Styela clava: one gene and its partner. The protein of the gene in region 1 purifies or fractionates together with the protein of each later gene. This does not show direct contact. Links are inferred from orthologs where the notes say so. Each region holds a gene or a part of one and is shown on either strand. Other genes may lie near its edges.

Region 1 (3,760 bases):
ATTTTTCGCTCACTTCCGACACGACGTCACACTGCGTCACGGAAATGAATTTTGACGCCAGACACAACGGAGCCAATATGACAATTTCCGTTAAGATAAAGACGGCGTTCCAATGTAATATTTTTGTATTTTGTTCGGTCATGTATGAATATATGCCAAAATTACATTAATAAAAATACATGTCACACTTAATCGATGACGTTAAAATCGGACATACAAAACTATGATAATTCCAACGTCCATATGGCACAGTGCACTGACTTAACCATTATTTTATGATTAGTAGTCGAAATGACAGTTATTGAATACTGCCTGGCTGAATTTTATTCACTCGAAATTAAAAATAAATTTATCTCCAACAAATAAACGGGACCTACATGTTTACAAGATTAAGTTGAATTTTAAATTAAACTTTACAATCGAATTTACCGTGTGTTTGATATAAATTATCATTTATAAAGATAACCGCGCACGATAAAAAAAAACTATCCGTCGAGAATATTAATACTTCAAAGACTTCGATAGAAGCCCGTTAAAATACTTCATTGCGGATTGAAACGATTTGCATCAGATATATTTACGTATGCATTTCCTGATTAAAATGACTAACGTGTTATTATACTCATCTGAAGTATCGAAAATAACGAACGAAAGATGTAAACATAGGACGACGGAAGTTTCAAATAATGCATTTTCGTCGTGACATCAATGTTACGTTACGACGACGATCGAGCGTCTTATCTTCACGCAACGACGTGATTACGCCATCCGCATCGGAAGCCTCTTTCTCTCTGTGCGTCGCGGTTACGCAGTGAAGAAAATGACTGTCCGAAGTTAGGGCAGTGAAGGATAACGGTCAGATGGCAAGAAATATCGATTATTTCAATAGTAAAAATAGTCCAATTGAACCGAAATTTGCAAGGAATGTAAATTACCGCACGAATGTTTTACCGAGTAATTTTGGCACCTTTTGGACAATAAATGGCCAAGTTATTGACGAAAATATAGTAATTTTGTCCGAAGTTAGGCGCTTTTACGGTACCGGTACTACTGTACTAGCTCTAATTTTAACTTCGATACAACTAGAAGGGCTGTTCACAAATTCATAGGATTTACCGGTACATACAGAGGCTACCATATTTAGTTTTTACCAGTGCTGCAGTGAGTGAGACAAGAATAAATTATCTGTCCACGATCAGATATGGAAGAAGCATTTGCCGGACCTAGGCCACGTCTGAATGCATCATTGCTACCAAAATACACAGAAAAATATGTCACTGTAGTTGGGACTGTCGATGCTGGAAAGGTAACTACAGTCTGACAGTACCTTTGTGTATTTCTGTATATCAATACCGGTACCGGTACTGATGATATAATTAATGTAATTCAGTATTTTTTTTTCAAATAGGCCTACTGAAATACCAAGATATGTTTTGAGTTGTATAATTTAAGAATTTCACACTGGATGGATGTAGAAATGTTGACTGAATCCTCTAGAACAGTGTTTTTCAACCTTTTTCGAGCCAAGGCACACTTTTTTCGGTGAGAAAATCCCGCGGCACACCACCAGCTGAAAATATGGCGAAAATACCTACCCGTAATATTCACAATATAAGTGTTATATTGTAAATATAAGATTTTTAACATTGAAGAAAGATGTTGAATTGGACATCTTGAATAGTAATCAAATAAAAACAAAGACAAAAAAAATCGCCACCAGATGCTGCCACGGTCTGATATAGAACAGTACCACACGATTACTCTGCCGGACGCTACACCGCACAGACACACAACTTGGAGAAATTCCCACGGCACCCCTGACAATATTTAACGGCACACCGGTGTGCCGCGGCACCCCGGTTGAAAGACACTGCTCTAGAATTACCGTAAAGAAATTCTGGATTTTCATTTATTTCTCTAATTCATGAAATACAGAAGTAGGCTTAAATCTGTAAAGTGATGCACTCAACAAATACTGTAAAAACTAAAATCAGACAATATCAATACCACAGCATGTAAACACATTTCCACAATTTTAACCTAATTTTATAGCTGCATGTATTCACTGGTTTCTGGGTTTTGATTAGGGTGTTGTTACTCTGACATAGCCTACTAGTAATTTTCATTGGTTCCTAACACTGTAACAGTCTGATCTAGTATATTACCGTGCTGAAATAGCAGACCTCCAGATAGCATGGTTTGAAGTCCTAAACTTCTGCTCCGCAATTTTTGAATTATTCTTTGCCAATGGCATAGCAAGATTATCAAAACCCAGAAACCTTTGTTTTTTTGTGTAATTCCTTATTCTGCTATTGGGTATCATCCGTTACGAACAACCACTATTATAAAATTTTCTGATTTCTGGATATAATACAATTTAGCAATTAACTCTTAATTATTGGGCTAAATAGTTTGTATTATAAATACTGTCGAGTTCAATGGTCGAAACGATGTAAAATATGAATACATTTACTCTTATGTGGTTTATTTATTTCAGATATCCCCAGATGGAAATTCATTTGTATTGAAAGATGGTGCAGGAGAAAATATTCAAGTTGTCTTAGATTCACCGGTAAGAAGTATTGACCAATCATATCACTGGTTTTCCTTTTCACACACTTTGAAATCGAGAACTACTTTATGCACCCCCATCTAGAAGTCAGGGAAATAATATTGTGATCATATGAAAATAGCAAAACAATAATATTCCCCTTTTTCAATATTTGTGACACTAAAATGCTGTATCACTAAAATTAGATTTAGATATATTTGCAAACATAATGTTTTGATTAAGGTAAAGCATAAGTATTTATAGTGTATCAGTTAAAGTGTTTAGGCTCAGTGACTTCTTTTGAAGTTACTCCAACAATGATATCCGTTTATAAGCTGTTTTTTTTAAGCAAACTCAACAATTAAAAATTTTGGCACATCTGGTTAATATTATGTATGTTACTTGTTTCTTGAGATATGTCCCAAAGATAAAACTAATCGAGCATTTTACACAGAGTTCTTTACTAACTAATTGTAGATTTAATTAACGCTAATTGTCGAAAATCAACGATTAGTTTCATCTATTTTATTTACAATTACTTGAAATTCAGTTTCACAAATGTATCTATTCTATGTTTTTAAAATTGCATTTTCAATTCCAAAATTTTGGCAAAACTAACTGACAAGTCATTATCGATATTCTCTTACTATTATACAGCTGGCTGATATTATTGAAGGTGTCGTTGAAGTCACTGGAAAAGTTGACAGCAAGTGTAACGTACATGGGGTGATGTATCGCGTGTTTGACTCTGAAGGAAAATTTAGTAAGTTGATATTCAGAGAGTACCAACATGTTCTAATGTTGTTTCGGAGCCTAAAATTTGAAATAATTATTTTTGCCAAAATAAAATCTTGACGAGCATAAACATATAAAAATAGTATGCGATTTGTCCAAAACCAATTTGTCCAATTTATTACATTGTTGTAATTGTTCCAGATTGTTACCCACACAAGAACTTGGCCCCAAGAAAATCTTGATATCCAGATTGGGGTGCTATGTGAAAATATTTTTTGAAACGTTTCGAACACTAATTTAAAAAATGGGTGGGCGAACTTCTGAATCAAAAATATCATTTTCTGTTTTTTTATAGCATAATCCTATAGCTTCAATCAACTGTTTTCTTACAGACATGGAACTCTACAACACTTGTGTGAAACTAATTCATGATTTCCCACAGTACTATGGGCAGAAAGCATCATGAAAGCCTAT
Region 2 (3,760 bases), on another chromosome or scaffold:
TGACCAATGTTCGAAACAAATTGGACAACAATCTCCGTCTTCTTCTTGAGATAACGACGATTCTTTCGTTTTCTTTGGGCTCGGATTAGGTCGAGGTGATGATTGCTTACGTTTTGTTGATGTGGATGGCACGGGGGTCAGAGGTCTTGAGGTTGTTGTTGTTTCTGGTAGGGCTGAAATGATCAAAATGCTTTGGTAAAGTTTCAGCTAGATCAGGATTGGGCAAGGTGTTTGGACCAGAGACCAAAAGACTGGCGGGCCATGTAAGTGTGGCCGTAAAAATTTACATTTTATGAATAATATTTGCAGTGTTATAAAAGCAAAAGTAGAAAACAAAATTTCGTCTCAAAACTAAATTTAATCGCAATCTCAACAAATTCCTCGAGCATATTTTTTAGCTCGGTGGGCCATTTAATCAACTTCAGACATTTAGCTGGGCCCCACAAAGAAATTACAGTAGTTTTTCCATCTACACATTGAATTGCATAACACGAGTTCTTGCATAGGTTTTTAGCATCAGCCAAACTGACCGTTCAAATGTACCGTACATCAGTCAGCAAGAGTAGAGAATACGGCTTTTGCCTAGATAGCCTTACAGTAATAAAAACGGTGAAAGATTTACCGCAGCGACAAACGCAAAAAAAAATATGGATTTTTGCCTATGTGAGCGCATTTTCATCTGACATCTGACAACAACAATACTACCCCCCTAGCAGTAAAAAAATGAATTTTTTGTGTTGCAATTAGTACACTGGTATTCTAAACTCGGAGAACACACTCCAGCTATTGTAACTTGAAGAATACCTGTCTGTCCAATTAGCTGACTGTCTGCTGATCTATACCCATTACTTGCAATTGATAATAAATCTTCTTCACCATTATTTTCTTCTTCTTCTTCGTGATCAGTTTCTTCACCTATAAGCAAGCGGAAATGCGTGAGTTTACTGAAAGTGGGTTTTATGATAATCGGGTAAGGTTTCCCATCTGTAACTGTCTCAAATTTTTATATTTATTCGTCAAAGTAATACAGAGATGTTTTAATACATTTTTTCCCAAAGTTGATTATCCGGGGGCCAAAATTAGCATCTGAAGGATATTCACGGGCCAGGAATGTGGATCCCCTGCAAGGGGCCGATACGGTATGTATAATCAAGATACTGGTATAATTGAATTGTGACAAATATACAAATTTTTAAACTATGATAATGACATAACGAATGGCGGTATCTAGAACGCAAAAAAAAAAATATATAAATTGGTAAACTAATTGACCTACGTTCGGCAGGTCATATTGAATCGTCGCGCAAGCCGCAATGGGCCGTCATTTGGAAATCACTGGAAAGTAAGAATTCCAGCAATCCATTAGTAAAAATCATCCGTGTGAGGCTCAAACTTGTGAACTCATGACGGATGATTTAATAAAGTGACAGTTTTTCTAGGACTTAGTATAATAGTATAATGAAACATCTGCTAGGCCCCTCATTTGATGAAATTTTCATTTCAGCCCGACTATATTGTATAATTGCATGCAATTCAAAATTCCTGCTGCACACTAACATGGTTTTGGTCAGAAGAAACGTTACAGAATTATATTTGTGTTAGTGTGCAGCAGGACTTTTGAATTGCATTGTATACTCCTATTTATTCCTGCTACAGCATCATTGCATTATCGCATATGATCCACTACCATAAAGGCACAGAGGAAGGATAGGAAGTTAGTCTCGCGCAACCCAACTAACAATATATATAAATTATTGGAAAATTCTAATACACATAAAATTCGGACAATTCAACTACCTGATGAAATGACATTTTCTTCATTTTGATCCAAAGTATCAATCTCACTTGAGTCTTGAATATTTGGGAGGGCATTTCTGCGTTGTAAGTGCCTTTCGTGGTTTAGCAACATTACATTAGAATCTGTGTCACTGGTTTCTGGAAGTGAAAATAAAAAAAATAGTTGAAATAAGAATTTTTAAATAATGAAACCAAAACGAAAAAATTACATGAGACAAATCTGGATAAAACAATAAACCATGCCTTATGTTAATATGTTATTATAGCTCATATCATGAATTTCGGCAAAAAACTCCTCTGAGTATAGAAAAAAAAAATAATTCTCAAAACTGATTAAAATATCAGACTTTATTTTCAACAGTCAGCAATGGTTCAAAACTTTTAAATATTGTTGGTAACTATACAATTTTCACACCAAGAACTGCTACGTAGCCCCCTAGAGCAGGGTTCCCCAAACTTGGGTCCGCGGACCTCTGGGGGTAGGTGATGACAGCACAAGGGTCCGCAACGATATGAAAAGAGTCTGATCAATGATTGATTTCAATCAAAAAGCCATTGCATCATATTGGTTAATCATTGAGGACGAATAGCCATTGCTAACAAAAAAGGGAATTAAAATTTTAATAGCTTCTACAACGACACACATATGCGAGTCAGCATTTTCAGCTTTTACCAATATGATGATAAACCCTGCCCTCAAAGGCCCAGTTTGAAAAAAAAAATCACAATCGAAAACATTCAAAACTTCCAAATTTCGTTGGTTACTACACACTTTTTCATACCAAGAAACGCTACGTAGCCCCCGAAAGGGCCCGGTTTGAAAAACCCTGATCAAAAATATTCACCTGATTGAATATCTTCATTATCTGTTTCATCATCGGTCGATGGAATTCCATTGGGATTCCAGTCTATCCAATCATCAGAAGTATCATAGTCTGACATACTTCAAAATATTTATCGTTTTTTGAAACTATATTATTTTCATTTTTACTGCCTTGACAAAAAAAAAGCAGAGTGGTTACCATTGGCACTAGAAGAAAAACTATTTATACACAAGAAAAGAAAACACAAAACATGATAATCCTTTCTCATAGATATGTATGCAACGAACATGGATGAATGAAAGACAGGCTTTATCACGCACTGAAAGAGACTGGGAAAAAAGGCGGCTGAGATTCAAGAACTAATTCAACATACCATATATCTTCATATATAAGTTGAATTTAAAACTATAAGAAAAAAGTGCCAAACTAAGGGGCCAAATTATATGGGCACTAAAAATTCTGCTTATGGGAGCATTATGTTTTTCATCAATTCTCTCATGCAACCATTTGCTGCGATAGGTGTGTACGGCGTGTTGCGATTTGTAGGGTCAGTCTATATGAGAATTTATATAAATTCACTGTTTTGGGGCCATTTTTAGGGGGTCAGCTTCTATGTGAGGACATACTGATTTCCGCCAACCAAATTTGTTCAATTGAGAAGATTAAAACATTGAGATTGAGTGAATTTTTAAGGTTGGAATTAATGGAAAGTCTTTTCGGACTTCTATCATTGAGAGTGTCAGCTTCTTAAATCAATCTGTCACTTTTTACCCAGAAAATGTCTCTCGTCATGAATTAAGAATCCTCCCAGTGTAGAAGGAAGTTATAATTTGAACAATATTAGAATTTAGATGAAAAAAAATTATTAAAGCCAGTTTTATGACTAAAATACTCATTACTAATAGAATAGGGCTACTACATTATAGTTGAATCAAAAATTTGCAACGAAACATGAGACGATTTCAATTTCTAATATCCAACATAGATATCAGAATAACAAATTACTCAACGCCCATTAAATAACCAGGTAAGCAAAGTTAAATCATTCAAGAATAAATACGAAACAATCAATCCATAATAAATAAATGGCCAAATTAAATATATTACACTTTTAGAATGAAATGAATTGATTTTTGAAT

What was found.
Region 2: the proteins of replication protein A 14 kDa subunit-like (region 1) and E3 ubiquitin-protein ligase rfwd3.L-like purify together in Homo sapiens (affinity purification with mass spectrometry; 5 studies listed by BioGRID and IntAct, with this or other methods). This does not show direct contact. The link is inferred for Styela clava from reciprocal best matches to the Homo sapiens genes RPA3 and RFWD3.

Annotation. Positions count from the first base shown.
Region 1 is NC_135261.1:16,322,613-16,326,372, forward strand, and holds the start of replication protein A 14 kDa subunit-like, read left to right. Parts: upstream 1-1,047; 5' UTR 1,048-1,201; coding exon 1,202-1,306; intron 1,307-2,497; coding exon 2,498-2,572; intron 2,573-3,208; coding exon 3,209-3,314; intron 3,315-3,678; coding exon 3,679-3,752; 3' UTR 3,753-3,760. UniProt on the Homo sapiens protein: As part of the heterotrimeric replication protein A complex (RPA/RP-A), binds and stabilizes single-stranded DNA intermediates that form during DNA replication or upon DNA stress.
Region 2 is NC_135262.1:4,159,217-4,162,976, forward strand, and holds the start of E3 ubiquitin-protein ligase rfwd3.L-like, read right to left. Parts: upstream 2,782-3,760; 5' UTR 2,740-2,781; coding exon 2,643-2,739; intron 1,936-2,642; coding exon 1,798-1,935; intron 916-1,797; coding exon 805-915; intron 174-804; coding exon 1-173. UniProt on the Homo sapiens protein: E3 ubiquitin-protein ligase required for the repair of DNA interstrand cross-links (ICL) in response to DNA damage. Plays a key role in RPA-mediated DNA damage signaling and repair.